Linked DNA regions of Mus musculus: regions 1, 3, 4, 5, 6 and 7 are each reported to be linked to region 2. Evidence: microRNA targets listed by miRTarBase, many of them from high-throughput screens and not tested one by one. Region 2 holds a microRNA gene; each other region holds the end of a gene's coding sequence.
Evidence for each region. The annotated mature microRNA mmu-miR-467f reads AUAUACACACACACACCUACA and lies in region 2 at 1,879-1,899, shown strand. An mRNA with a match to its seed (bases 2 to 7 or 8) in the 3' UTR can be bound and repressed. Matches are read on the target gene's strand: a 7mer-m8 pairs with bases 2 to 8, a 7mer-A1 pairs with bases 2 to 7 and ends in A, and an 8mer does both.

Region 1 (4,595 bases), not on the chromosome of region 2:
ACTTCCGCCGTATGCTGGGCACAAAGCAGGCACTTCAGCGCATACTGAGAATATCAAATTTTAAGGCAGAGCGTGGTGGCTCACTCCTGTAATTCTAGCATTAGTAAACTTAGACAGGAGGATGACTATGAGCTAGGGCTAGTTAAGTTCCTGGAAAGTCAGGGCTAGAGTGAGACCCTATCTGAAAAGTTCCTAAAATCGGGGCCAGAGCACTTGTTTTTGCAGAGGACCTGGGTTCAATCCCCAGCACCCACATGATAGCTCTCTGTAACTTCAGTTCCAGATGATGCCCTCTGCTGGCCCTCATGAGTACTGCATGCACATGTTACACAGTCACATGCAGGCAAAAACACCCACACTAATAATAAAAAAATAAAAAAAAAAATAAAAAATTTAAAAAGCTCTAAAACCAATCCTGATTTGGGGAAACTGGGAGGGGTAAAAAAACAAACAAACAAACAAACTTGTCTCTGCTTCCTGGGGCCTTTTTTTTTTTTTCCTTTTCCAATGTATTTCTGGAATATCACAAAGTACTTAATAGAAATGGATTTTGAGGGAAATTCCTCAGGACCAAGTGCTGACTCAGCAGCAGCCTCCTGCTGGCCCAGGACCCCGTTCTTAACTGCTGTGTGACACCATTAGGTCTTGGTAGGGAGAAGGCAAAGGTGCTTGAGGTTTGTGACCTGAAAGTCTGAGAAGGAAGGAAAGGGAACAAGGAGCGGCAGGAGATTGTGTAGAACACTTGAGACTGATTTTATTGGGGTTTCTCACAGTGGTTGGAGCCACTCTGTCTTCCGGACAATCACAGGATATCGTCACCCAGACCGCTCAGGGCAGTCTGAGCAACTGAATCTTATTGCTTAAAATACACATATTCACAATAACTGGCAGACGGTGGTGGCCTCACACAGGAATGTGTTAGCGGCTGCAAATCTGACCGTAGCACCAAGCCCTCTGCCTAACCCTTCCTACCTAGAAACCCAACTCAGTCAAGTCTCCCTGGCCTCTAACTCACTTTTCCTGTCCTCTCTCTGAGCATCAGGGTGGCCTACAGCAGCAGGGCCAGACTGTGGCTCGGGCATCATGGTGGGTGCTTCAGTAAAGCTAGTCGGCACTCAGGCCAGCCCCTCACTCTGCCAGGGGAACAAAACTTGAGAGGGTCCCATCTCACCAACAGTTAACTAACGAGGGGTTCATTTTGGGAAACTGAACTCTCCTCTGAGACACTGCAGTGAGGTGTCTGGGATTTTAACAAGCTATCAGCTGGGAAGTGCAGGAGGGCTGCAGCTCGGGCCCCTCTGACCACACACCAGCCCTCTCTCTCTCTCTCTGGATCTTGGGGGATGAGCTGTGCATGTGGCCAGAGACTCCTGTTGATCCAGGACAGGCCGATGTCTGGGCCACAACCACTTCATGCTTGTAACTCAAGACCCAATCAAGCTCCTGTCTGAAGCCAGCGGGAGGGGGGCTGGGTCCGGATGTTTCCACGCACAGGGAACAGAATGGAGGCCTCTGAGTGCCCATGGAGCAGTGTGCAAATCGCAGTGGTGAGCTGAGGAAGCAGCCTCTCTGAAGGGCAGTGTCGCTGGCAAACACAGGCCATGCCGTCGGGGAGATCGCTGCATACACCCGAGTACGGTCAGACTATTGTTCGGTAAACAGTAAATGTGTAAAATAAATTACTTTGAGAGGGCCATACGTGCTCCAGGCATGTGGTTAATGTGTGAGCAGAATGGCCATTCAAAGTATCTTCACAGAAAACACAGGGCTCGGGGCCACATACCACACGTACCACACATACCACACATACCACACACACACACACACACACACACACACACACACACACACACACACACACACACGCCATCCAACATCACTGTGTAGACTTCACTTTTGTTCGACAAAGATTTTGGTTTGTGGTATCCAAATGCAGACACGCGTTCACCTTACAGCCTCGGGTCTGTGTGTTTACATGTGGACTTGGGTTTTCTGCCTTTTTATTCCTTTCTCACCATAATGGTGGCGCCAAGTCTAGTCTATGCATCATCGTTCAAGAGCAGGGTAGGAACCAAACTCTTTGCATGAGCAGGGCTGGGTGGGGAATGTTCCTCTCAGCGGCGTCTCTGCTCCTCTTTCCTGACAAAGCATGACCGGGTCTCCGGAGCCAGACGACAGTAACCAGGCCCCGAGGTCTGCTGGAGGCAGTGGTCACCTCCTACCCAGGTGACTCTTTTACACAGGCTGTACAGGAAAGTGAGTCATGTTTCTCCACAAGGCTGGGGCAGAGCAGCCACGAGAACCACAGGTAACCAAGGCGCTCCTTCTAAGTGGTCAGTTTAAAACAAACAAGGACACAAAACAACAGACTTAAGTCAAACGCAACAGGAAATACTGTGTGAGAACCAGGCTATGAGGCCACCTTGCCCTGAACACACAACTTCCTCAGTCCATCTGCTTACAGAGGACAGGGAGACAGAGACCGCAGGCTGTGTTCAGGAGGGGCGAGGACCACTGACCACCTGTGGGCACGGACAAAGGGCGGAACTGAAGGAAGCTCTTAGCTCTCCCAGCCTTCAGACTTGGGTCTCCACTCAACAGAAGGCCCAAGGCTCCCACCACCGGGCCTGTTCAGGCTCTCTCCTCCTGGCCCAATGGTAGTCAGACTCTTGGGAACTCAGCCTGGGGAGAAGCAGCAGAATTCCCTTGTAACAAAGAGTCCCTGCCTGCCCACTGGTCTGGCTGTTTCCTGCCAGCCTTTGTTGCTTGTTTTTAAAGGAAAACCCAGAGAACGTAGTATCATCTACACCTGAACCAGGCTGGGAAGGGTCCCCTCTACAACGCACAGATGTGTACTTTCTGCCTGGGCCTTGTCAGCTCAGCAAGTCCCTCACCACCCTGACTAGCTGTCACCCTCCCACAGGGTTAGACCAGTGCTCTGCAGCCACTGGCAGCCACAGTGACAATCCACTGGCCTCTGAGGGTTTTCTTCTTCTCTCTGAGAAGTGGTGTCTCCTAGACTGAGACACGGTTCTCTCGTGAATCCACTCTGTCACCGCTGAGCACCACCTTAGGGCACAGTCCAGCCCCAGTCCTCGGGGGGGCTTTGCAAACTTGTGTTTCTCAGCCAGGCAGGTAGGTGGGACACAGCTCTGAAAGGGGGGTGCGGGAGTCACAGAAGCAGCTTCTCCGTCTTCTAGAACACTGTGCTTTTGTGGGGAGAGGAGGCATCCACACCCTGAATTTGTACCTGGAGATGTGGGCAAGGTGGGATAGGAGGGGGAAAAAATATAAGAGGACAAAGTGGCCGGGCCACATGTCCATGTTACTTAATGCTTCTCTCGTGGGTGTCCCTGACCCTGGTTGTCGTTGAGCTCCTAGGTGCAGGCAGGGCGTGTCCTAGCTCGGGGAGCCACTGTGCTGGGAATTTGGAGAGTCCTGCTCATTGATGGTGTTTAGCAGCAGACACGCAGGCGGCCGTGGCAGGTGGGGGTGCCCATGCTCCCGAGCCTGACCCTCCGAGGACAGGCAGAGACCTTCCTCTTCATCAACAGGAGGCCGTACATGACAGCTGTCACAGAAGTCCAGGGGCCCGTCCAGAGCATCATCTATGAGCGTGTTAAACTCTTTGAGGTCATCGTCATGGTGGCCCCGGTTGCACACACACACCTCAATGCCTGAGTCACCTGTGAAGCGGCGATGCCTGCCGGGGGTCTTGTCTTCACTGTCAGGGGACACGCCGCCACGCTCAGAACGCGAATCTTTCAGTAGCTCCTCCTTGCACTCGGAATCCTGGTCCAGGAAGGCGCCCGGGTCCAGCTCCCCGTGGCCGGCCATGGGGCTACCAGACTCCGTCCCAGAGGCTTTGGTGGCTTCCCGGTCAGTGGGCACTTCAGGGGACTGAGGATCTGCGACACTTGGAGGTCTTGTGCTGCTTCGGCTCGGTCCGGACAAAGGACTGCTCTGCGCTCCCTGGGAGCCCTGGGGCGGCGGGTCAGCGCCTGGGGGGCTGCCACCTGGAGGGCCACCCTGAGGAGGAGGTGGCAGCAGCTGCTGCTGCTGTTGGAGCTGGAAGGCACTGTACGGTGGGGGAGGAGTTGGAGGTCGGTTCACCACTTCCTCATAAGGAGGTAGCAAAGAGTTTGGCAAAAACCCTAAAACAGGCAGGTGGGAGAAGAAATTACCACATGGGTCAGCACTCTAACAAAGCTCATGAAAGGTGACACTGTCCCCTCCCACCCCAGAGCCATGGTGGCTATGCTTCTTAGCTGTGGGCAGGTAAGGGGACTGCAACAGCTTAGAGCAGCGGTTCTCAACCTTCCTTATGCTGTGAGCCCTCAACACAGTTCCTCATGCTGTGGTGAGCTTTGATCACCAGTCAAGGAGGAGTGAGGAGCCTGTGACACCAAGGTTCACTGAAAACATGCCAGGTGAGACCCCTCCTGACTGCATGCGCTCAGTACCTTGGGGCGGATCACCTCGCTTAGAGCTGTGCAGCAGCTGCTAACGTTTATTGAGCATTTACTACAAAGCCTTCCAGCTAGGGAAGGGCAAACGCTTGTCACATCACAATCTGTACAATGTGACAGATGGCT
Region 2 (3,000 bases):
AGCTGCCAGGTGGTGGTTTTTTTAATCCCAACACGCAGAGGCAGGCAGATCTCTAACCAAGCCAGCATGGTCTACAGAGTGAGTTCCAGGACAGCCAGGGCTACAGAGAAACCCTATTCTGGAAGAAAAAAAAAAAAAAAAAAAAAAAAACACTAGATAGATTAGATAAGGGGGGTTTGGCTAGAATATAGTTCCGTGTGATGTGTGCCTAGCAAGTATAAAGCCCTGATTTCAATCCTCAACATCAAAAGCAGTAAGAAAGCCAGATGCTTCAAAAAAAAGGCTAACAATATTCAAGGACCAGCCCTAAGTACAGTAACTAGGATAGTGGCAGAGCTTAGGAGAAAATGTACCAATAATATTCTAGAGAATACAGAGTTCCCACCTCACAGACCTGGCCAGTCACCACTTACAAAACTATTCTTTCCTTATAATGAGAACATCTAACCCTGAATATTGCTTCAGATACGACCTGCTTTGGCTGTTTGGGGGGAGCCTGAGGCAGGAGGGTCTAAGAATTGGAGGTCAGCTTAGGCTACGTGCTAAGTTTCAGAGTAACCTGAGCTATCAAAGTATAAAAATCCTGTCTCTATATGGGGAGAAATGTTTTTAAAAATGAAAGAAGGGAGGAAGGGAAAGGGAAAGGAAGAAAGAAGGAAGAGATCGGAGGAGGGCTACCTGGCTGAGGATGTACTTCAGTGGAAGGCTAAGATGAGACCTCAAGTTCAAGGTTAGCCTTATCAACAAAGCAAGGCTATACAATAAGACCCCATCTTAACAGGTTGGTGGTGGCCTAAACCTTCCAAGGCCAGCCTAGCCTACAGAGTGAGTTCCAGGGCAACACAGGATATCCTGCCCCCCACCCCAAAAAAAAACAACAAAAGACAGAGGCAGGCGGGTTTCTGAGTTTGAGGCTAGCCTGGTCTACAGAATGAGTTACAGGACAGCCAGGGCTACACAGAAAAACCTTGTTTCAAAAAACAAACAAAAACAAAACAAAACACATTATGAAGCTGGGGTTGATGGTGTGCACCTGTAATCCCAGGTCTTAGGAAAGGCCACAGTAAACCAGGAGTCCAAGGTCATCCCGGGTTAAAAGCCCAAGCCACCTGAAACCACCTTAACAAAACACATCACATCCTGACAGAAAAGCCAAGTTTGATAGGATAATTCTAAAATAACTTAGACCTCAGATCTGATATTTACTGGCTCTAGAAAAATCACAGTAAAACAGTTTTGTGAGAGGAGAAAAGAATCTCCCCAAACGTAAAAGATCTAAAAAGTTAGTATCCCTTACTCACACCAAAGTTTGCTGAGTCATAAATATTAATCAGCAAGGTTTGAATAGGTAAGTATCTACATTACACTTAGGCAATGTCTTTAACTCAGTCATGGAGCAGAAAGTGCTGAAGTGGCCAGAATACAAAATCTACACTCAATATTTGGCTTTTATTAACTCTATACTATCAAAGAATCCTGTCCCTGCTTCCCTCAAATCTATCACTGCTCTGGCCCACAGAATAAAAGGATAAAAGAGAGACTTTCTGTTGGATACCCATATGTGTAACAGAATTCATGTCCCAGCCCAACCATGTCATACAGTTAATTGGAACTGAGCACTCATCTGTCCCAGCTGTGCATGGCTCCTGAGCTTCCTTAAACCAAATGCAAATATCTTATCTTGATCTCATACTCAATTTAAGAACCACTTTTCAAACTAAGAGTAGTTGTGGATGCTTTTAATCCCAGCACTCAACAAAGGCAGACCTATCCCACAGAGTTTGAGTTCAGGGCAGCCACGGCTACATAGAGAAATCCTGTACCCAGAAATCGAACGGGGGTGGGTGTGTGTGTAGGTGTGTGTGTGTGTATGTATGTATATACACACACACACCTACACACAGCTTTTTTGGAATTTTTAACATTTTGATGTTAGAAGGATACAGATGAAGACTAACATATCGAGGAAAAGAGAGCATAATAAAGAGTACTTTTTGGGTTTGTTTGGGTTGTTTTAGACTGGATTCCATTCCCCATGCTGGTTTTGAACTTCAACAATCCTACTTTAGCCTTCTAAGTACTAGGGTTAGAGTATGTACCACCATACCCAGCCTGAGGAGACTGTTTTAACAAAGGTAATACAAATGTGGGTGAAATAGATATTAAAACATTAATGTGTCCTCTCAGAAGCCAAAAGAATTAAAGACTTTTGCTACAGAAAACAGAAATGTTAGAGACACTGTTCTGGTCTGAAGAAAAAGTACCAAGAGTTAGGAAAGTGACAGAATCAGCTAGGAGCCTTCTTCAGCTATACACAGACTAGACAGGTAGACATCATCAAGGATACACAGGAATACAGAAATACCAAGCTAAAAAGACCGAGACTTAGTTGAGAAGCTGCATTAAAGCTAATAGGTATGTGCACCCATAGGCACTGGGTAAAGAACTTGATCAGAAAAGGGAAAAAAATGGCCTGGCCTTTATAATGGATAACTAGCATATCAGTTGAAGTGAGGGTAGGAACCATCTACAGGGGTAGGGCAAACCTAAGTCTTTTTTCAGCTACAAAAAAGATACAATTTCATAGTAGAGTCAGAGAAAGTTATTTCCAAGGGCATAAGAAAGTAGAAGTTCTACTAGGGTAGGGGGACAGACAACCTGAGGAAACCTGAAGAAAAAGGGGCTCTTCTCACCCATCTCATGCTATGGAAATTCCTCTTTCTCTCCAGGATGAAGAGTAAGAGAGGGACCAAACGTGTCCGGGACAATTCCACTCATAAAAGTCAAAAGATGTTCAGAACCCCACTGATCAGAAGAAGAAAATATCTGGGGCGTGGGATCCAGAATAGACTCAGGACAGATACAGAAGATGGGGTGGGTGGTGGATAGAAAGAAGGAAAAAACAAAAGTCTGGTCTGGCATGGTGGCTCAACCAGTAACGCCAGAGCTGTAATCCTAGGCTGAGGAAGAGTTCAAGTGCAGCCAGGGAGGGGATCTTGT
Region 3 (4,595 bases), not on the chromosome of region 2:
TTATTGTTTCAAGGATATTGGTTCATTATATTTCCCTGGCACCGCTACCTTTGACCTTGCAAAGCCTGTGTGTGAGGTCATCTGCCAGCGTCTCACTGGCTCTAGCTTCTGGCTGACTCAGGAGTGAAGCTGAAGGAAAAGTGGGGTGGTAAATGCAACAGTAACCATGAAGAAAGGGAGTTGGAGTGGCCTATATATTCATTTGTACAAATTTACTCCAAGGCAAGCTTTCTTCCAGATTTATGGTTTGCTTTAGAGCAGATCCAGTCATCTGTCTTATCTAGGAATGAAGGTGCTGGTGGCTTAATTTTCACATTCAGCTCAATTATTTGTTATCTCCAAGAGTGCCTCTCAGTATTTGTCTCCCTACATCCATGAAGCCTGTATTGTAATCCATTTTTTTTTATTTAGAATTGAAGAAACAGTATAATAAAGACTTCATTTGAATATAATTAGCAAGATGTTTTTAACCCCACCCATTAGTAAGTGACTCCATTGCAAGATGCTGCTTAGAAATACAGCAAAAACATTTCTTGTCAACAAAAATCAAGATTTCTGGGCAGTCTACATTCATTTGGTATAATGTCTTCCTTTTTTAAAAAAAAATCACCATTGTCTGGAGCCACGCAGACTTACTTGGGCAGCATCTATTTGTGAGACTGTTAGGTTTAACAAGTCTTTATTTAGTGACTCGTTTTTCCATCTTCTATTATATTAATCACAAAGTTGAACAGACTGCGTTCTGTAGTCATCTTTTCTGGCTGAATGGTGCATTTGGGCATGTGGGCGCGCATGCATGCACAAGGCACAGGCTGAGGAGATCTCAGGCTACAGAAGAGTTAGTGAGCGAGCATCAGCCTGCCCTGTGTCCTCGGGCCACTTTCCATCAATGCTTCTCATCTCCAGATCTTTCAAGTGATGCCAAACTGTGGAAAAACTTTCAGAAATGCATGACTGTCTCTTCCATCCTGTTGTGAATAAAACAGCTGAATCAAACAACGCAGGCTCTTTTGGAAGTCTCCCTTTCTTCATGAGCTGCTGGCATCCTTACAGTTCGTTATTAGCCAAGGGAGATCACAGGACTGGGCGCTGAAGGATCTTAGATATGGTTTTAGTTTGGGAATATGTTCCTGCAGATGGCTGCGTTTTGGTGACTGAAGAGTCCCATGTAGCGGCAATGCGTGTATTAAACATCCCGCAGGAGAGCTGAGTTAATCTTCTAAGCATAGTGCCCAAGAGGAAAAACCTCCTATTTACCGATAGTCATAGTAGGCCTGACTCCAACTGACCCTTCAGTCGCAATGACTGTCATATTGCCAGCTGGTTTTGGTACATGTTCATGACTCAATTAAAATGGAAGAGGAAATAACATCCATGGGACTAGACTTTGGTTCCTATGGTAATGATGTAATAATACATATGTCACATAAAATCTCCTATTTGGTTATGAAAAAGGTACTTTTTGTTTTTTAACTGATTGGGATTAAAACAATAAACTGCCACATCAGAAGCATGTTGACAAACTGGAGGGAAACAAACCTTTTCTACAGAGAAGGAGTTGTTACACACACGTGCATGGTGTGCAAATGGAAGGCAGCTTCTGCCTCCTACAGCTAGCATTGCTTCCGCAGGGCTGGGATTTATAGGAAACAAACTCAAACCTCATTATAATTGTTAAAGACCAAAGACCACATACAGGGAGAATAAATAGCAAGTTCAAAAGTCAAGGTTTTGCTTTTCCTACTACGAAAGATAATCACTCTTTAGCTTAAAAAGGCTCCCTGCTGCCTGCTTATAAATCCAGACATAGGAGAGGTCATCTGAGCCTGAGTCCCTGCAACGGCTGACTGTAGAAATGTGTGACATCAAAACTTACACTCCTTTCCTGATAGGTACTGACAGAAGTAAAAGCTGGTAATACTTAATTAAACTAAAATATGTATTTCTGGCAAGTGTAAACAGAATCTTAATGAACAGATTTTCTAAATTCTCTCCTTAGCTCATACGTTAGCTAACAGTAGATCTTTGCAGTAGTGTAAGAACTATTTAAAATTATAACATGCATATATTCAAAAAACCTGTTCTCAATCCCAAAGCAAAGGAAAAAAATACAATAGGAAGATTGTCTACATACATCTCATTCATTAATCTTCTATCAATAACTACCCCACCTCAGAATATATTTTCATAATTACCAAAATAATGAAATGATCTGTAAAATTTTTAAAATAACTGCACACCATTAATTACATTCATGGCTTCAATGTGAATAATGCCAAGATTAGCCCCAAATGTCACTAAAATGCATCTTGACCAGTAACTGTCCACACAGTAAAAGCGAACACAGTGTTAATGCAAAACCAACTAAAATATTTATTACTTAACAGAATGCATTTACAGAATAATGAATAATTAACTTTTGTGAGCTGGCCAGGGGACATCAGACTGTTGCCTCCATATACAAATTTACAAAAGGCTTTATTCAGTCTACTTCCTAAGTTACCTATAAGACAGCAAGTTGTCCACCACTGGGCACAGTACGTTAGGCATAGCCACAGTGGAAGGCATGCTCTCTTCATGACCCAGGAAGGTTCCTCTGGCAGGAAAGAATTTACCAAGCGAGAACCTGACCTAGCATGTGTGTATGACAGTACAAGAGAGTGGAACTTTAGCTGTGTACTCCAGGATTTTGAGGGGTTCTAGTCTCCAGGCTTCTAGTTAGAGCAACATCACTTCTGTTTTGGTCTTCTCAGAAGCGTACAAGTAGCCTACCTATCACCGAACAAAGCCTTTCTGCGAGCATTTCCGAGATGTGTCAGAACTTAAAAGCTCAAAACTATACAACCAGTTTTCTGACTTGAGATTCCACAAAGTCTTTTTAGAGAAATAGACGTTTGAATTGGAAAACAAAACAAAAAACAAAAAGGTCCTGGTTTTCATAATCTTCTGTTTTAGGGAAAACAAGCCAGCTCACCTTGGGGTAAGTAACAGTGCGCTTATGCTATGCAGAATGCAAACAAGACACAAACGGAACACTCGGGTACACACACTGACAGGTGACGGTTAAAACCTTTCCGAAAGACCCCCTATTGGAGCCCCCCATTTCTCCATTCTGCTGAACCGGCCTGAGTAGACCTGGGCATAGGAAGAGAGTTAGGAGGTGGCAGCGGACATATTGGGGGTCCAGCCCATCTGGTAGGCTCTCTCCAAGGTCCTCTTGCAGTCCTGCAGAACGGTGCTGAAGGTGATGTGCGGGTACTGCTGCACCAGCTGCTCCACTGTCAATTCATTGACCTGTGAGCAGAGAAGAGTCATCATCAGACACAGGGGCCACCAACACCATGCAGCCTGTGCTCACAGGGGTGCTGTGGGGCATGCGACGTGCCAGGGAACAACAGCTCTCCCTTTCCTTTCCACTTAGCAACATGACCAAGGATTTGCTGAGCGCGTGCATTTTTCCTCTGGTCTGACTTCTCTGATACTCTAGAATTGCACTGCCCGTATGGATTTTTAATTAAACATGATGTCATGAAATCAAATGTACCTGCTAAACATAAATGACTAAATGACTGGGATTTACCAAGATCGCAGTAATGCCCATTAAGAACACAGAAAATGGGAGGAAGAACGCAGTAGGAGCATCTCCTGTATCTCTGACTTCTTCACCCATGGAAAAGCCTTTTTAGGCTGGACACTGTACATTGGGGTGGGGGTGGGGGTGGAGATACACAGGATTCTAGATAGAAGTGCAAAGGAAAATGTTTATTTTTCTTCCCTTTAAATGTTAAGACATTGCAAACCTCAGGCCCTGTGTGAGAAGGGCTGAAATTCGAGGAATCAATAATTAAAGCATACATGGCTGGCAGGTCAGGGATGGCCCCAGCAGACCTTAGCCATCAAAGAGTCCACCTTGATTCCCGATTAGACAAGGCAATCAGACAGGCCTAATTAAAACTAACACCTTTACAATTGCTGTGCTGTGAAGGGATTAATTTGTCAATTATTTTTAAGCTGATTGCCGTTCATATCACAGAGATAGACAGCTTCCTTCATCCTTTAGATAAATAAATGATTAACCTAAGAACCACAACTTATAGGTAGCTTTACTTAAAATCTTTATTGAACACTTGGGCATTTTTGAATACATCAATATTTTATTTGTACTGTGTAAGCTATACTGAGTTAAGGCTGAACGAAGGTATTTGTGGTAGACATTTTTAAGCATCCCTCTTAATGTTCATTATTGAAAACCAACAGCACCACCTTTAAAAAAAAAAAACCCTAAAAAAACAAAAGCAAGCCAATCAAGTCAGAAGGCCTGGCTGTTTGTGCTGAAAGCCTGCTGATAAGTCTAATGATCATCAAGTTTGGGTTTCTGCACTTTTCTAATTATGTGATTTGAAAGTTAGGTTGTCTTTCATTTTTGTTCAATAGTGAGAATTGCCATTGTCACATTGTACTGGTGACATTTAAGGTTTAGGACAAGGTCTTGATAAATATCCAGGCTGACACTGAGCACATGATACTAAGATCTCCCAAGACCTGGATTACAGCTGTGAACTCCCATGGCCAGCTGTCAAGAAGTATCTCTAGTT
Region 4 (4,595 bases), not on the chromosome of region 2:
GACTATTCTTCCCGAGTATCATCTTGCAAAAACTAAAATGAAAAAATCACCTGAAACCACATTTTGTCAATTTGTGCCTAATGGCATGGCAGCCACATCTCCATTCCACCCTGCTACTTTCTTTCCTTCTGACTTCTGGAGTGCTGGGCAGCTGCCATCTATGGCCACATGGAATGTACGCACGGTGGACATTTGTTGACTTGCTTGCTTTATTTCCCAACTGAAATTACCAACCCCAAACCACATGGACCACTGAGCCAATACTAACATCTCTGCAGTTTTCTCGATTAAGCAAGAATTGAACCCCAGGCAAGCCTATTTAATTTTGTGGGCCATATACAACAGAAACAGGGTTTCTGTAGGGTTTTGCCCACAATGAATATGATTTGGGCTAAAATGTTTTATTTTTGTGGTTAGTGGCATTGTATTTATTTTTGAAACACGATTCTACAGGTGTATTATTAACATGTGTAGTTTAGGCTCTGTGCTAAAAGCCACCCACAGTTATCCAAGTTACTTTGCCAGTTTTTGATTTTTGTTTTTAAAGGTTTGAGTACACATTGTTGTCCTCAGACACACCAGAAGAGGGCATCAGATCCCATTACAGATGGTTGTTAGCCACCATGTGGTTGCCTGTAATTGAACTCAGGACCTCTGGAAGAGCAGTCAGCGCTCTTAACCACTGAACTATCTTTCCAGCCCACTTTGCCATTTTTTTGTTGGCAGGATTTTACAATAAGAATAAAAATACCTTTTCTCCTGAAAAGTGATTTTATAGCTATTGCTTCAATAAAGGCATTGACTTTAAAAAAAAAAAAAGAAAATCTGAGCAGACAGTTGCTGAGACATTGGAGGCTGGGGACGGGGGCTGGGGGGAGTATTTGTGCAAAAAACATTAACTATTGTTTCTTCCTCAGAATTCCATCATCCCTGGTCCCCCTTTCCTCTTTGGAGCCTGTTCGGTACTGCTGGCTCTGCTCGTTGCCTTGTTTATTCCGGAACACACTAATTTAAGTTTAAGGTCCAGCAGTTGGAGGAAGCACTGTGGCAGTCACAGCCATCCTCACAGTACACAAGCGCCAGGAGAGGCCAAAGAACCTTTACTCCAGGACACGAATGTGTGACGGAAATCAGGAAGACTTCTCTCTCTCGCAGCACCCAGGTCTTAGTTTTCACCTGTAGCTCTGGATGTACATTCCATTTCCATCTGCAGTGTACTTTAAGACTGTCTTAAGAAATACTTGCATGAACTCCGTGGGAACTAAAGAAAGAACCGGACAGTTTTCCAAAGATGTTACACTTTCTTTCAAAAAGAAACCTTTTGTTTATATTAGCACCACTCTCTTGCCACTAAACTGTTTTATTACACATCTTTAATTAAAGCTCTATCTGTAACTCCGTCTCTGCCATTTCCTTAGGTGTTGAGCCTTTACCTGCTCGTGCTGACTCAGCGACACTAGGCAGGATGGTTATGGACCTGTTTGCTTTAACCTTGTAAAACCTGAGTCATTGTAAAATCTTGGGTCAAATAATTCAAAGCCTTAATGCAGATGCACTAGAAAAGAAATGGTAAAGAATTGTTTGCATTTAAAAGAACTTGTGAAAATTGTAGAAAACCAGAATCATGTTTCAAGCTTGTTTGCCATAATTTTATTTAAAGCATTATTCACGGCTGTTCTGAAGAATGAAAAGATCAGCCACTTAGAATTCAAATTGGGGTGGTCAGAGCCTAGCCATCTGGCTCAATCTGTTTAAATCTGTTCTGCTTCTTATACCACTATTCTTTTGATATTTGCATAATCATAAGGACCTCAACACTTGAATACATAATCTAAAAATTATATAGTAAAGCTGGTAGCCTTGAAAATGTCAATGTGATATCTATATGTAGATAAATATATATAGTGGCCTTTCAGGACTGTCACAGTAACACTTTATTTACAGAGCTAATGTTTGTCCTAAATTTTCAGGACCCTAGAAGAGAGCTTTATACAATTACTGATGTGAATTTCTCTAAAGTGTATATTTTTGTGTCCAGTTATATTATTTAAAAAAGTGTTACTTTGTAAAAATGTACATAAAGTATTGTATAGTTTACACTGTTTTCATCTTGTGTGTGGTTACTGCCTAATGCTTTTTAAACTTGGAGCATTCACTATGATTAAATAAGGTCTCAAATGTAAATATTCTGTTAATAAAATTAAATATTTTAATGATTTTTTTCTTTTTAAAAAGGTCTTGATCTGTGAGTCCCTCCCTGTAAGGCCGGTTTAGGCTTTGTTACAGTAACAAATCCTCTTACCTTAACTTACCTTCTGCAATCCATTTGCTGCCCTCACCTCACCTCACCAAAAACAAAACAAAAAGCCTGAAGATAAAAATAACGAAGTGTGTAGGTCAACCGGAAATGCTTGATTTCCTAAGCACAGTTAGTCTTTTATTTCCTAAACATGCTTCTTGCATATAAAACGCTCAAGCCTCAGTGCTTTATTGACAAAGGTCACAGCTTTCAGAAATAGCAAAAAGCAACATTCTGATGGTTAACACATGTACAGTTATACAACACAAAACAATTTCAGACAAAAGCAGAAGAGGTAGAGCAGAGAGTTGGCGCTATCTGTGTGTGTGGACACTTAGCACAGAGACAGGTCACCAACACCCTGCGTGGAAATGAGCTGTCCTATCGTGGAAACAGGTTTATAAATAGTAAGGGGAGGGTATCTCTTCTAAAAAGCTATATATGTCTTGTATCCCTTTCCAAAGGCTGCCATAGCTCTTAGGTTTATTCTATAGTATTTACAACAGTCCTGTGCTGCATAGAGAGACTTCTTTCCAGAATAAGTGCTTTCAAGTAGTTATAGCAATATTCTTCCCATCACTGAACTGTGATAACAGCCCTCGTTGAAGACAGCTAGCAATAGCCATCATCCTGAAAGTGAGGCTAAAGATTCTACGTCACTGTCTCAAAATGTCTGCAACAGTGTAAAGTACTTGAAAAAAAATGTGTATAAATGTTTTGCCTAGAAACCACATGCATGCCTGATGCACTCTGGGTGACAAAATTGTGAGCTGTCATGTGGGTGCTGGGATTAGAACCCACATCCTCTGAAAAGAGTAGCTAGTGCCGATCATCACTAAGCCATCTCTTCAGCCCCTTGAAACTTAAAATATCACATGATTGTTAACATTTTACAGATAAGATTTTTGGGGTCTTGGAATTTTAATTTCCTTTGGGTGGTTGTCAACAAGAAAACAAAATTAGACCTCTAAGATTATAGAGGGTTGTTTTTGGTTTTTTGTTTCATTTTGTTTTTTAAAACTACTTAATTTCAAAGGAATAGTTCTTGGAAGTTTTTAATAGTGAGGAAGTTGTAATTTCCAATAGTTAACTCTCCTCCTGCTTTATTAACACTGATGACAAATTTTAATATTATAAAAAGTCCCATGAACTTTTATGGTGTTATTACACTGATGATCTTTATGGAATGCCCAGATGACTAAAGCACTTCAGTCATGTAAATACACTGTCCCAATGATTTTTATATAAAAATTATTTCAGAGAAAATGATTTACTCACTATGAATACTTAATTTCACTCAAAATCCTTAAGAGTGTCACTAGGTACATCAACCAAACTCCAAATGCCCATACCCAGGACTTGACTAGCACAAGGTCGAATACACTGTTTTGGGTTTGATTTTTTTTTTGGGGGGGGGGAAGGGGGTTCGAGACAGGGTCTCTCTGTACAGCCCTGGCTGTCCTGGAACTCACTCTGTAGACCAGGCTGGCCTCCAACTCAGAAATCCGCCTGCCTCTGCCTCCCGAGTGCTGGGATTAAAGGCGTGCGCCACCACTGCCCGGCTGGTTTGATATTTTTATCTTACTGATTGGTTATTTTTATTTTCTTTTTTAAGGGAGAAAGAACATAAAATTGGGTGGGTAGGAAACTGGAGACCATCTGGGAGGAGAAATTATAAACCAAATATATTGTGTAACTCAGGCTTGGTGGGTACACAGCTTTAGTCCTAGGTCTTGGGACACAGAGGCAGGTGGATCTGGGTTTGAGGCCAGCCTGGTCTACATACATAGCCAGTTCCAGGACAGCTTGAACTACATAATAATAGACCCTGTCTCAAAAAAAAAAAAAAAAAAAAAACTTTGAAAGTTGTATGAGAACTGAATGTAAAGTCAATGTAAGGCTCAATGGTCACAGGTGGAAGCTCTCCCAGCTCTCAGGTGGCAGATTAAGATTTTTTTTTTTTTACAATAAAAATGATCGAATGAATCACAAGTCTTCAGTTTATATTCCCTGCAGGTGTATCTTGATAAAGTGTCCCTAAGCAGACCAACTGGTAAGAATCTGATACAATCCAGTGACTTTTTGAAACATTCTGTTTTGTTCACAGAAAAAAAAATACCATTTACTCAGCATCCTTATCAATTTCCTAAATTTGTAAATGGCAGCAGTATTATAAAGGATCCAAATGACCTAACAGGAACCAGAAAAAAATTGATTTTGTTATCAATAGTCTGTTAAATCACTTGAATTCCTAAACTGTCGGTGAGCAGTAAAAGGTGTTGGATTAACTACTTGG
Region 5 (4,595 bases), not on the chromosome of region 2:
GGGGCTACTCATATTTAACAGTATCTCATATAGGCTAATGTTTAAGACCCTTTTGGGATTCAGTTACCACCTTAACATGAGTCCTTATTGTCCCGTTGCGTCCTGGTGGCTCTGGTGATGTTAACACTGTCTGTTCTTCATGTTTTCTGGAACTGTGACTGAATTAATATGTCAGTGTAGTACTATCTGAAGAATCCAAAGAGCTATTAAAATGCTTAAAAATAAAATGATCAATCCTCCTCTTTGTTCTCTTGACAGGATAATTGAAGCTATCTGCATAGGGTGGTTCACCGCGGAGTGCATCGTGCGGTTCATCGTCTCCAAAAACAAGTGTGAGTTTGTCAAGAGACCCCTGAACATCATTGACTTACTGGCAATCACGCCCTATTACATCTCTGTGCTAATGACAGTGTTTACAGGCGAGAACTCTCAACTCCAGAGGGCTGGGGTCACCTTGAGGGTCCTCCGAATGATGCGGATCTTCTGGGTGATCAAGCTTGCCCGGCACTTCATTGGTCTGCAGACACTGGGCTTGACTCTCAAGCGATGCTACCGAGAGATGGCTATGTTACTTGTCTTCATCTGTGTTGCCATGGCAATCTTTAGTGCACTCTCTCAGCTCCTTGAACATGGGCTGGACCTGGAAACATCCAACAAGGATTTCGCCAGCATCCCCGCTGCCTGCTGGTGGGTGATTATCTCTATGACTACAGTTGGCTATGGAGATATGTATCCTATCACGGTGCCTGGAAGAATTCTTGGAGGAGTTTGTGTTGTCAGTGGGATTGTTCTGTTGGCATTACCCATCACTTTCATCTACCATAGCTTTGTGCAGTGCTACCACGAGCTCAAGTTTAGATCGGCTAGATATAGTAGGAGCCTCTCAGCTGAGTTCCTGAATTAACGTGTTGCAAACCAGTCCTTGTGCACACTTCATCTGGTCGAGTTGACACTAGTTCTTCTTCGCGTGTTTCTCCCTGGGTGAGCACTGCAATGGTGTTGTCCTCCTGTTGGAAGGGTGACATGATTCTTCCCAACTCAAGGGTTAAAGCGGTTTACTTACGGAGTAGGCAGGACCGGGACCGGGACACACAGGACAGTAGCACCAGAGGAGATGCTAGGACCTGGTTTTATTCCCTCTCGTCTCCCTCCACCTTGCCTCGCACAGTTACGATGTTGTAGGCTGTTCTTAAGCACATTATTTGAACACTTTAAAGCAGAAAGACACTATTTTCCAAATGCTTTTCCATCTTAACGAATTCAGAAGAAGCTTGGAACTTAACAGTGTTATTTTTGAGACTAACATTTTCGTTTCTAAATGTTTTATAATTTCTCATATCAATGTCAGAAGTATCCTGGAAACATATGCCACATGTGGGAACTGTTTAACAAATACTTTAAAAAGTTGGCCCAAATTTAAACTGTATTGCGGAACTAGAGGCAAGCAAAAATATTATTTGAAAAGCTTTGCACCCTTCTCTAGCCTACCCTTGGCTTAATTTTTACACCTGTCACTTCTCTTATCTTACAACTTTATGGACCCTGAAGTGTGTTTTCTCTTTCCAGTTAGGCCCCCACTTTACTGAAATAACTTCCAAAGAGTACATGATATCACGGAGAGACCTTGTGTTGTTTAGCGCTCTGTTGGGTGATTTAGAGTCAGTTGCCGTGACTCAGAGTCCTAGCATTCAGATTGCCAGGAGCATTGCTAACATGAAATGACGAGAGAAGTGCTGTGATATTTCAGGGTTCGACCCGGAGTTCTCGGCTGAAGCTCTTCTTCTTTAGAACCACAAGGCTCGTAAAGAAGAGACGATACTTCTTGAGCTTTTTGTCGGCACAACAGCCATACTTACGCGCTGTCACTAGGCTGTTGTAAAAGGAGAAATGTTGTTGTCTTGGTCCGGTGTTGCTAAGCAGGGCAGATGTAGTTCTCTGGCCTGACTCCTCACCATTGTGAAGCACGGATACACTGGGTCTCTTTTTGTAAAGTTATCAGACACTGCTACTCCGTCCAGAGTGCTGGTGTGCAAAAGTGCTGGCTGTTCACTGCTACGTTTCTGCAGTATGAATGAAAATATTGCTTTTTCAATAAGTCATAATAACACTTGAACACCCCCCCACACACACACACACATCAGAGTTACTGATTCATGAACACTTTAGTATACGCACTGTGGTTATCAGGGTTGAAGGGAACGGGTTAGGGACTGGGATAACCTTTTCAAAGAAAGACTCGCCAGAAGTGTCCATTAAAGGAATCTTAGCCATCAGTCCAGCTTTTATCATTACGGGTAGAAAAACCAAGGCACGAGAGCGTGCGGTGACTGTGCAGTTGGCGCTGGAAACTTAGCCTCCTTTAAGCAGGCCCAGCAGTTTGCTCTGCACACGCCTCTAGCTTTGGCAGAAACTAGCATAGGCCACATTTCATTCTCGTTGCCATGATCAGGCAATAATAGCAAATTCATGTGATACTGCCCATTAAAAATAAAAACCTCACCATTTTTTTCCTAGTACCTTCACTGGTATAGTTTTACACACTAGATTGTTATTTATATATACTTTTTGTTTCATTTTAACTGAACATATGGCCTGGTGTTATTTATTTTTAAGCTTTGTGATTTATGCAAATCGTATGCAAATGATAGCTCATCTATATTATTAGTAAGGATATGGTAGCCTTTAATTTTTCTGGCACTGAGAGACTCTCCATGTGAATATGGATTCCATCTCCAAGCAACTTAGTACTCCACTGAGCTGGGACCCTCGAGGGCACACACAGGTCACCAGGTCCTCACAGTGTCCGTTACAGAGGGGCCTGAGGTAGACGAGGAGACAGACACGTGTGAACGTGCGCATGGAGAGCCACACGTGGGAAGCCACGCGAGCTCTGAGTTGCTTTGAGGTAGCAAGTGATGATGCTGGTCTGTTCATGGGGGCTGGCTTTCATTGAGAAGCATCTTGGGTGTTGGTAACAGCAGTGAGCGTCCTGTAAACAAGGGGATGAGACATGATGAACGGGTTCGTTTGTAAATGAGAAAATACAACAGCGTGTTTTGTCCTTTAGGATGCTGGAGCTTCCTAGGAGCAGACTTTTTTTTTTTTTTTCCAGCTTTCTCTGAATGTTACTAATTTCATTTCATTGTATATATTTGCTTATTTTGGTGTTGTGTTTGTTTGTTTGTTAAGGGTCTCTGCTGTGTAGATAAAGCTGACCGTAAACTTGTGACACTCCTCCTGCCTCGTGCCTCCCAAGTGCTAGAATTACAGATACAAGTTACAACACCCAGCTGCTCTAAAAAACAAAACCCTAGGACAGATGGCTCAGTGTTTAAGAGCACTTCCAGTTCTTGTAGAACACTGGAGTTAGTTCTCATCACCCACATGTTAGCTCACAACTGTTGAGAACTCCAGACCCTGGGGATCTGATGCCCTCTTCTGGTCTCTGTGAGCTTCTGCACGGCACTTTTACACAGATAGCACACACACACACACACACACACACACACACACACCCCACAGAAATGATACTTTTTAAATTGCTGAGGTGGAGCCTCCTTCTGAGATGCACTTTATCAGTCTTCACACTCTGGTCTTCATGGCAGAAATGCTCTCCCACCCCCACCCCAGGGAGCCAGCTATCCTCAGAACACCGAAGAGGGAAGGACGCCCGAATCTTTCTTTTGAGTGTACTTTGTTTGAGCGAATCTGATCCCTTCCTCTTACACATGACTTGATTCGTATTCTCTGAAACAAGAGAGTAGGAAGATAGGGAAACAAAGTTAGAGAGCATTTGTAAAACTGAGTGTATAACTTAATAAATTCTTTTTTTTTTTGTTGTTTGAGACAGGAGTTCTCAGTGTATCCCTGGCTGTCCTGGACCTGCTCTAGATACCAGACTGGCCTTGAACTCAGAGATCCACCTTTCTCTGCCTCCCAAATACTGGGATTAAAGGCATGTGCCACCATGCCCAATGCTCCCCAAACCCCCTTTATTGATTTATTTTTTTTATTACTGTTATTGAGTTGCTGGTTTACACACGTCTGTTTATTCTTGGGGTTACATGTGATTGCACATTTGCAAATTCTTATTTTAAAATGTTAAAATCGATTCATTCATAGTAGCTGTCGGTATGTCAAAATATTCTTTTTTTAAAGTACATTTATTTATTTTATGTGTTTATAGTACACGTGTGCATATGCATACATGTGTGCGTGTGTGCATGCTTGTATGTGTGTCGAGGTCAGAGGGCAACCCACTGCATACACCAGGTGGTTTCTGGGATTGAACTCAGTCCATATGGCTTGGAAACCATCACCTTTTACCTGCAGAGCCATCTCATCAGCCCTTCTAAATCTTTCACCTTTTACCTGCAGAGCCATCTCATCAGCCCTTCTAAATCTTTGGGCACATGTCTTGCTTACATCTCTGTGATCCTGCAGCGTGGAAATAGGATAGACCTAAATGTTCATGTGAGGAGAATTAATTATCTAAGTTGGTTGGATATTTCCTAGAAAAAGCTTGTTTCATTTTTCTTTATAGACATGAGAATAAACAACTGAAAACGTCTAGTTCTGTTATACAGCTAAGCTTT
Region 6 (4,595 bases), not on the chromosome of region 2:
GGTGTCAGACATCCCTCCTGGTCTACAGCAGGGGGTTCACCATCTACCTAGACATCTCTCCTGGTCTGTACCAGGAGGGTCACCATCTGCCTGAGTTTGTTACTTCTTTAAATGCCGCTTCCAGTCCTTCAGACCAGCCACTGGCAGCACTGCCTCTCAGACACATTCTTTAAGAATATTTCTGATTTATGCTGTGTGTTAACCAGTAGGCATTGTGTGTGAGACCAGCTTTTAATACTTTTCTGAAACTAAAGAGAAACATTAAATTCACCATGCCAACCAGCTTCCCTTCCCGTGTGTTCCTAGGGTTCCCATAGACCTAGCTGGAGACTAGAGTCTCCTATGGGCTGTGTGGCTTATGAATGCATGTTGGTTTCATTTCTATAGGATTTTAGCTAGGTTGATGGTGTTAGGAGAGATTCATCCTGGCACGTTGTTTTGTCCTCAGCTGGGAGACGACATTGTTCAAACACCAGTGCACCCTGTCACTCAGCAATACTCTACAGCTCACATGACTTAACGCACAGCTCTTCCACTTCTTCCGTGTGGGACCTGTTTGGGAAAATGGAGGGAAGCACTCTCAGATTCCCTCAGATGGATGTGGGTGCCAGGGGCTGTTCTGTTTATGTGAATCCAGCTTTGCCCTTAGGAATAATGTTCACCCGAGTCTGCTCTGTACCCCAGACCTGTGCTCTTCAAACCCCCATTCTTCCTGTTTGGCTGCTTTTTAGCCTCTGAGCAGAGCCAAGCCTACCATTGCTATTTGCTCTCCGGAGCCTGCAATGCTTTCTGAGCCCCGAGGATGGTTTTTTGAGCTGTTCCTGTGAAGGCAGTGAAAGCAAATCCCTCGATGCTGGAATAAACCGAGCCGCCCTGAATCAGAGGGCTTCGTTGCACCTTTTGTCTCTGGGTGTTGCTAAGAAAATGAATAGGGCAAATGCCTTGAGACTAGAAGCCAACTGAACTTGCCTGTTATTTTCTTTCTTTTGCAGGGGAGAGACCATACTACCCCAGGGACTGTGCCAGCAGGGCCCCTCCGAAAGGGGATCTAGAGACACACCTCCAGCGCCCGGCCCCGTGACAGTGTTGACTGTGGCCTCACGGGCGGCTGGAAGGCTCCAGCAGTGACCATGGCCGCTTTGGGGAAGAAGATCCAGGGCCTCCTGACCTGATACGTCAGACTCGGGGGCCATTGCGGTAGAGCAGACCCAGGGACAGCAAAGATGCTATGCCTAGAATTCCGTGTAGCTCTTTCACACACATGTATGTGCTCATCACCCATGGCCTGTGTCTCCTCGGGATAAGCAGTGGCATTGGCAGGCACAGTGGGAGCTCAAGGAGTCTGGATTACTCAAGACAGGCATGAGACACTGGAAAAAAGATACTGGTGTGTTTGGAAGAAGTGGACAGCACTGTGGGGAGGTCCAGTGCGTAGGACAGAGATGATGCTGTCAGGATGTGGGGAGCGGAGGGGGCTGCACTACCGCCTCTCCCCGCCGCCTCAGTGGGGACTTAAAGTAGAAGGTGAGACAGAGGGGTGTTCAGGTGGTGTTCGAGTGCTGTGGAGAGGAGCTTGGTGAGGCAGGGCAATGAGATAGCTCCTCACGGTTGGAGTCTGGCCTTGACCCTCTGAGCTGCTTATGCCCCGCCATGCTGCGTCCTCACCGTCCGGGCTGCGTCTGGCTCAGGAAACACTGCAGAGGTGGGAACACATATAAATCTGCTTTGGGAAAGAAACATTAGTTGAACACTAAGAGGAGCAGGTGTCTTTTTTATTCTCAGGACCTTTTTTGTAACAGGGCTACATTCTGCAAACTGCTCACGGAAGGCGACTCCATGTCTTAACAGAGTACCGCTGAGTCCTCCCAATTTGGGCCTGTTTTGGTGATGTCAGAGGAACCCTTGAGCAGATTGGGGGCCCTAGACCCTTAGGGTGCTAGTGCTCTGGAGCCTTCTCTCTCCTCCTCCCACCCCCTTTCCCCTGCACCACCCCAGCAAATAGATGTCTTTCCCCGTTGGGCCTGGTGAGCACCACCGGATGAGTGACTTTGTTCACAGATTAATGGGGGTCGCCAGGCCTGAGGGTGAAGACGGCTTTATATACCTCTTCCTTAGTCACGCAAGTTCACGTTTCTGCGGTGGGGTGAAGGCCCGAGCAGAGGCTGCGAACCCACGCGACGTGCGCAGTCGGAACTGTATTCCGCAGGTAGCAGCGATTCCTTTCCCCGTTGCTGTGACACTGTGTGTGATGGCGATACTTCTGCAAGTTCCAGATGTTTGCACATATGATTTTATGCATTATCACGAATTACCGCTGCCTTGAATGAAAACGTTCTGTGAAATTTTTTGCAAAAGCTTTACTAGTTTTTTTTTATTGTGAAATTTTGTAAAGGCAGGAAATGGATTAAGACGAGCATGCTAAATATATTTTTCAAAAAAAAAAGCAATAATTTTACATGTACAGAAATTATCCTAACCTTTAATACTGGTGAGAGCGACAGTTTACTTAACCCGGTAATGGATCAGCGCGGTTTTTGTAGGAAATGGGCTTCTGATACAAAGACTTGTTTAAACACACATGTATACACGAACCCTGGCGCGTGGTTCTCTGTTCTAATGATCTGTTGGATTGTTATTATTATTATTATATTATTATTATTATTATTGTTGTTGTTATTGTTAGTTAATGTTTGATTCCAGGTTCTATTTGTTACTGTTTTAATTACTTGACCGTTCAGGTGACTGCTGCACTTGCAAGCAATGCAATGTTAACTGGCTAGCAGATATATATATATATATACATATATATATACACACATATATACATATATATATATATATGTGTGTGTGTGTGTGTGTATATAATTTTTTTTACTTACTTTTCCTGATACTCCTACAGCAGGTTTGTATGAGAGCGGCTTGCCGTGTCGGAGCGCTTGGGAATAGCCATCATTCTGAGGCGTTACTTGGAGCAGGAGCAGGTCGTAGAGATACATTCCTCTCTCCGCCTGAGGCAGCGTAGTACCTTTCTGTTGACGGCGTTTGTTCTTTTTGCTAGGTTCCCCATCATTTCTGCGCTCTCTGGCTTTTTGTTCCCTTGGCTGAGAGTGAAGGTGAGAGTTAGGAATGTCAGAGCCTGTGATTCGGCCCATCTATTTCTGTGTTTTAGTTATTAAACAGTTCTGTACACAAAGGGACACGAAGGTGTCGTCTGTGTTTTTCCTGTGTCTGAGGCTGCACTTGGCATTGAGAACTGGAAGGTCTGTCTGTCCCATGAGTCTCCTTCCCAGGGTCTGGCGGGGAAAGACGGGTGCCTGAGGTCCGTCTGCCTGCCTGGAGAGCAGCCAGTCTCAGGATGACCTGCCCCTCCAAGCACAGAGAGGCACAATTTTCCTGTAGCCACAAGGCCATGAGGTCCCCAGCGCTCACTCCTGGGACCAGCTGTGTGCTGGCCTGCTGCATGGTCTCTCTGTCCCGCTGGCCATCAGTATTGGACTGGTTTGTTAATTTGTCTATGTCAGCTCAACAATAGTATTTAATATGATTTGTGTTTCCTTATTTATTTAGCCAATCTGTTTTGCTTTGCCCCTCCTCCTGTGGTGATTTCCACATCTCTGACTGTTACGGACCTCCTACCTACCTCTCTGCATCTTCTGTCTCCTTGTTTCCTGACGGGGTTTTTACAGTGTTGCGTCTAATGTAACTTAGACAATAAAGGGTTTGGTTGTCTACACTGCAGCCGCTCACTCTGTGTGTCCCCTGCCCTCTCCAGCTGCCCTCTTCTGACTCCTGCCTCGCTCTCTGGCTCACACCAGCCCAGCCCCCACCATCCCCTGCTTCACTGTGTGACGTGTCTTCTCTTACGCTTTTCCTCCTTTCAAGTACACATTACACAGAGTTTCTCAAATACTTCAGGTGATTCACTCATTCTTAATTCCCAGAATGAAGGTTTAACTTCACGAACAATAAATACATTGTGGACTCTTCTCCTCTGGGGAGTTGCTCACTGCTCCTTTCCACACTTCTGCTGGTTCTTGAAGTCTATGCAGTCTTAGGTGGAGACAGTTTAGCCTCTCCCGCGTAGTACAATTTCCAAGTCAAGTGGACTTTGCCTTTTTGGTTCTAAAAAGTATTAGATATTTTAAAAAGTTTCTCCAATATTTGCTTATTTATTTTTTTAAGTCCAGGAAGACACTGGTTTCTGGAAGTAAGGTGTTCCAGGCGGCACAAGGCAACTCTTTCAACGTAAAAGAGCTCTGCTGTCCCAGCGGGCTGTAGGGATGCCCCTTCCCCTTGGCTGCTGTGTGCACACCACGGCTTCTCTGCAGCTGGGACTGGAGTCGCTCTCCATTTATGCTCCACAGGTGACCAGTTCCACCGTGGGCATCACAGGGCTGGCAGCAGTGACCTTTTCACCTCCTGGGAACCAGTCGAGTTGACACCTGTCTGGGTGGATGAGGGTGTCTTCCAGGTCAAACAGTGCCTGCAGTCCCCCAGGAAGGACCTGTAAGATGAGACACCTGCCTGTCAGCACCCGAAGAACGAGTTTTGTTGTTTTAATGCTTATAAATCAGGCAACTTCAAATTGCAACTTT
Region 7 (4,595 bases), not on the chromosome of region 2:
ATTTCGCCTTTTCTGGAGAAGAAACAGGCTTGGCAACCAGGGCTGCTCTCCACCCCACTCTGTACCAAGGGCGGGGGAGGCTCTGACAGGCAGGAGCCCAGGCTCTCTAGCTGCCTCAGGTCCTGTGCAGACCTCTGTGTCCCTGCTGTCTGCTGAGGTGGCCTAAGGGGAAGCCTGGAGGTCTCCACCTGAAGTTCCCTGATGCAGGGTCAGTCCAGCCTTGGTAAGGGCCAAGCCAGGCAGGGGCGCCTCCTTACAAAGTAGTCAGAGGCACCTCTGCCTTGTTTTGGTCCCATGACCCATGTCTGCCTCTCCTGGGCTCTTCCCCAGATCTTCATTCTCTGGGTCCTTCAGTGTGAGGTGTTTTTCTGTTTTGTTTTGTTTTGTTTTTTTTTGTAGGCTTGGTGTTTTGTAACACGCTCTATCTCTAGTGGCCTCTGGCAAGGAGTATATGGTGTGATTTGCTGTTTAGTGACAGCGGACTCTATCCTGTCTCATCCCTGTGTCAGGGAGCGCTCTGGGTCCCAGGCCTAGGGACTTGTGTACACACTGCATCTCTGCCGTGGCTTGCTCATGGGCACTTTCATAGTTTGGGGGCAGGCTGAGTAAAGCCTGTAAGCTGCCCCCGTGGGAGGCAGCAGGGAGGAGCTCCAAATGTGCTTGCTGTAGGCTCCTCCTGTTCCCAAGAGCCAACGACAGCCTCTAATTTTCTGTGACAGCAGCAACCCACACACCGCCCCATGTTGCCCTATTGTTAGAGCTATTCTTGGGACTGGCTCTGACAGCCCTGACCCCCCCACCCCCCAGCCCTCCACTGCCTCCTACAAGGCAGGATGATGATGCCTACTGGCAGGGAGACCTGGGCATCTCAGTCTTGGGCCTCGCTACTGACCCGGACTTCTGCCCAAGGGTGGCCCAGCAGGTAGGGCAAAAATGTATAGCTTCCCGAGGCCCTTGCATTGCGACTTGGTCTGAGGGCTTACAGTCTGCAGTCAGTCTTGAGCCAGCCTCAGGTCCAGGGTGGGTTGTGGATGCCACTACACTACCCTCTGACCCCTGTCTTGCTCCTGCAGGTGGGCGTTTCTGCTCCTTCTCTCCGTGCATTGAGCAGGTGCAGCGGACATGCCAGGCGCTGGCAGCCCATGGCTTCACAGAGCTTAGCACCCTGGAGGTACTGCCACAGGTCTACAATGTGCGCACTGTCAGTCTGCCCTTGCCCGACCTGGGGGCCAACAACTTAGAGACCAACATGGGCTCTGATGCCAGCCCCTTCCGTAGTGGCACACCCATGAAGGAGACTGTGGGCCACACTGGCTACCTGACTTTTGCCACTAAAACCCCAGGCTAGCAGGCCTCCAAATGAACAGCACAGGCAAGCAGGCAGGGAGGCCAGAGGCTGCCTTATATGGTCAGCCACTGCCCTCGTGGCTTGTGTTTAGAAAGAGATGGGGGCGGGGTGGGGCAGGGGCCTCCTGGGTGGCTGAGGGGGGTGAGTAGGCTGGCCCTGCTCAGCTGGGAGGCATTCCTGTCTTCTGAGAGGGAAGTCTCCACTTCATCACTGCTCAGCGCAAGCTCTGTCCTGGCTCTTTGTTGTCAACATGAGTCTTTCCTCTCCATAGTCCTTCCTGGGTTTTGAGACTAAATGGTAAAAGTTGAGGGCGTCGGAAGCTTTGGGCACTGCCTATAGCCTGGGCTGACCTACGGGAGCGTGGGTTGTCCCATCCCTGGCGCAAGTCTCCAGGCCCTGGTGCTCCAGAGCTTAGCCAGAAGCTGTGGTTGAGCTAAATTAACCAGAAAGCCCAGCCCTGCCCTCCTCTCCCTATACTTCCCTAAGGCTGATGGAGGGACCAGGCTGGCCCAGGAACAAAGGAGGTGATGATAATCAATAATCATGTGCTGCACAGGCCACGTGTGTGTCAGCACGACCGTGTGTGTGTGTGTGTGTGTGTGTGTGTGTGTGTGTGTGTGTGTGTGTGTGTGTGTGTGTGTGTGTGTGTGGAGTTCCTGGTGTGCTGGTGTGCTGTCATCTGGGGTTAGGCATCATCCTGAGGGATAGAACACAGCAGGATTGGTCCCTGCTTCCGTGACCTTCCAGTCCTTGTTGGAGCTGGGGTCAAAGCGGATCATAGAGGAGCCTGTGCATGGGCTAAGAGCCTGGCTGTGGACTTGCCACATGTGTCACCTTGGCCTGGTGTCCATTCTCGGTATGTGGCTAGCTTCAAGGGAGTTTCAGTGCTCGGTGCTCAGATCATCTTGGTGTGAGGCTGCCAGTCAGCTGCTGCTGCTGCGTGGAAGCAGCCATCGCGAGACTCACCAGTGTCCTACTGTCATATGTCATACCCGAGGGCACCCAAAGGATAATAAATATTTTCCCCACTGTGCTTATTGTCTTGTTCCCACAAGGGCTGTCCTTCAGCAGTGGCCCAGGCCCGCTGCTCCACACGTGCCTTCCTGACTTCTGTCCTTTTCTCTCTGCCCTCAGTAGGTACTATGGCGTTTCTGACCTCTAGAACAACACCACAGGACTCTTCACAAAGGCATGTCCTGGGCTCCTTCCCACATTCCTATGAGAACCTAACTTGAGTTCCTGGGGTTGGCTTCCCAGGCTGTCTGTTCTCAGTGTAATGGCAACTGGAGGTCCTAGAGGTCGTGTGCCCTCAGAGCTGTTCCGGCTCCCTAGGACCACCAACCCTGTTCCAGGGCTTACCCTCCCTCCAGGACTTGCTCTCAGCTCTAACATGCCTAGCCTAAAGGACTGAGGTGAGGCCCCACGCATGTGCAACATAGAGTGGGTGCCTTCAGTACCAGGACCTGCAAAGGGTTGTAAGTGGATGATCTGGGCACCCTGCTACCTGGCCTGGCCTGAGCAATCCTGGCTCTCTGTCCTTGGGGAAGGGCTTCTGGCCAACAGGTAAAGGTCAAGGGACAGCATTACTGTGGGACAGAGCTTGCTCAGTTGTGGGACACACGGGCCGTATAGCCAGGAAGGCCCAGGTTATGTCTTCCATATGGGTCTCACTGGCTAGATGTCCTGCAGAAGGGACCCTGGCCAAGTCTGGAAAAAAAACAATCTACTTACTGTCCCTTGGGATAACCAAATTCTAGCTTTCATAGTCTCAGCCTTGGAGAGTCTATCCAACCCTAGTTTACCTCTAAGTCCAACCACAGCTGGAGGGCCACCTGGCCCTGGACTTACCTGCAAGCCTTTGTGTCTCTACAGCTCTGCTCAAATCATCCTCCTTATTCTTTTTTTTTTTTTTTTAATATTCATCTATTCCATGTGAGTACTCAATAGCTGTCTTCAGACACACCAGAAGAGGGCTTCAGATCTTATTACAGATGGTTGTGAGCCACCATATGGTTGCTGGGAATTGAACTCAGGACCTCTGGCAGAGCAGCCAGTGCTCTTAACCGCTGAGCCACCTCTCCAGCCCCATCCTCTTTATTCGTTCACTCCTTCATTAGTTAGTTTTTGAGGTGGGGTATTCTCTGTGTAGTCCTGACTGACCAGGAACTTGATCTATAAAACTGGCTAGCCTTAAAAAAAAAAAAAAGCTAGCCGAGCAGTGATGGCCCACGCCTTTAATCCCAGCACTAGGGAGGCAGAAGCAGGTGGATTTCTGAGTTCGAGGCCAGCCTGGTCTACAGAGTGAGTTCCAGGACAGCCAGGGCTACACAGAGAAACCCTGTTTCGAAAAACCAAAACTCTGGCTAGCCTTGAACTCAGATCTGCTGTCTGCCTGGCTAAACCATCTCCTCTTGACTGCTTTCCCAGACTGCTGCCCACTCTCAGACAGGAGCCTTCAGCTCAGCCATCCTCTGTACCCTGCACTGATCTGCTGAGGGTTAGTTACCTCAGCAGGAGCCCCCAGGGCAAAGGAGAGGCTAGGTCCCCAGGTCCTTCAGACTGAGCCTGGCTCCTAAAGTAGCCCTGAAGCCATGGTTGTTGAGTTCAGTTAACTGATCCTGGGTGCACCTGACTCAGAGGCTCGGGACTCATCATGGGGCAAGATCCTGGAAACTCCCCTTCCAGCCTGACTCCTGTCACTGGCCCTCAGTTTTCCCTTAGATATTTTCCTGGGTCACAACCTGCATTGTGACCAGGACAGCAGCACACCTCTCAGCCTCCTTGGCAAGAGTCTGCTCTGCAGCGCCAAGCCCCGGGAAGCCCTGAATGCACCTCTAGGTGCAGACCCTGGTTCACCTGCTGGAAGGCTCCTGGGCCAGGGTGATCAGCTTCCTCAGACAGACTTCCTCCGAGCCGCCTGTGAGCTGTGCCCAGGCCTCAAAATATGCTGCCCTGTGTTTGAGGGTTTTCCAGCAAGGGCATTGGGATCTAGTATTGTGTCTCTGGGTGAAGAATGGGTAGTACAAGGGTGGCTAGGGACACCTCTGCCTCTTACATTGTCTAGGTCTCTTGGAACTTGACCTTGAAGCTGTGTCCTCTTCTCCCCTCCTGACCATTGCACAGTTGCCTCTTTCTGCCTCAGCCTAGCCTTCATCCTGGGACAGGCAGGCTGCCAGGGACTCCAGCAACAGGGAGAAAGAAGTGCTTCCGGCCCACTGCTGGAAATGCCACCCAGGTGGAGAAAGAA

Region 1: miRTarBase lists Wbp1l as a target of mmu-miR-467f. The part of its 3' UTR that is shown has no 7-base or 8-base seed match.
Region 3: the mRNA of Fbxl17 is a reported target of mmu-miR-467f. The part of its 3' UTR that is shown has no 7-base or 8-base seed match.
Region 4: miRTarBase lists Mfsd14a as a target of mmu-miR-467f. Seed matches in the 3' UTR shown: 7mer-m8 at 2,019-2,025.
Region 5: the mRNA of Kcng3 is a reported target of mmu-miR-467f. The part of its 3' UTR that is shown has no 7-base or 8-base seed match.
Region 6: the mRNA of Zfp516 is a reported target of mmu-miR-467f. Seed matches in the 3' UTR shown: 7mer-m8 at 2,856-2,862.
Region 7: the mRNA of Trmt61a is a reported target of mmu-miR-467f. The part of its 3' UTR that is shown has no 7-base or 8-base seed match.

Annotation. Positions count from the first base shown.
Region 1 is chr19:46,653,524-46,658,118 of GRCm38, reverse strand. Wbp1l (WW domain binding protein 1 like) reads right to left here. Exons shown (of 5, transcript NM_001177812.1): 5 at 730-4,154. The coding sequence ends at 3,400. Among named protein-coding and RNA genes, the nearest start is that of Gm36602, 10 kb to the left of the region's middle.
Region 2 is chr11:69,634,318-69,637,317 of GRCm38, reverse strand. Mir467f (microRNA 467f) reads left to right here and starts at 1,799; the gene lies at 1,799-1,918. The region is part of intron 1 of Fxr2 (fragile X mental retardation, autosomal homolog 2); the gene reads right to left.
Region 3 is chr17:63,057,118-63,061,712 of GRCm38, forward strand. It overlaps Fbxl17 (F-box and leucine-rich repeat protein 17), which reads right to left. Exons shown (of 9, transcript NM_015794.1): 9 at 1-3,294. The coding sequence ends at 3,154. Among named protein-coding and RNA genes, the nearest start is that of Gm34324, 19 kb to the left of the region's middle.
Region 4 is chr3:116,628,803-116,633,397 of GRCm38, reverse strand. Mfsd14a (major facilitator superfamily domain containing 14A) reads left to right here. Exons shown (of 12, transcript NM_008246.2): 12 at 918-2,234. The coding sequence ends at 1,124. It overlaps Sass6 (SAS-6 centriolar assembly protein), which reads right to left. Exons shown (of 17, transcript NM_028349.3): 17 at 2,412-4,595. The coding sequence ends at 4,584. Among named protein-coding and RNA genes, the nearest start is that of Trmt13, 17 kb to the right of the region's middle.
Region 5 is chr17:83,584,043-83,588,637 of GRCm38, reverse strand. It overlaps Kcng3 (potassium voltage-gated channel, subfamily G, member 3), which reads left to right. Exons shown (of 2, transcript NM_153512.1): 2 at 259-2,681. The coding sequence ends at 904. Among named protein-coding and RNA genes, the nearest start is that of Gm34801, 18 kb to the right of the region's middle.
Region 6 is chr18:83,000,281-83,004,875 of GRCm38, forward strand. It overlaps Zfp516 (zinc finger protein 516), which reads left to right. Exons shown (of 6, transcript NM_183033.2): 6 at 993-4,595. The coding sequence ends at 1,052. Among named protein-coding and RNA genes, the nearest start is that of Gm41795, 8.6 kb to the right of the region's middle.
Region 7 is chr12:111,681,522-111,686,116 of GRCm38, forward strand. Trmt61a (tRNA methyltransferase 61A) reads left to right here. Exons shown (of 4, transcript NM_001099793.1): 4 at 1,074-2,381. The coding sequence ends at 1,348. Among named protein-coding and RNA genes, the nearest start is that of Trmt61a, 5.7 kb to the left of the region's middle.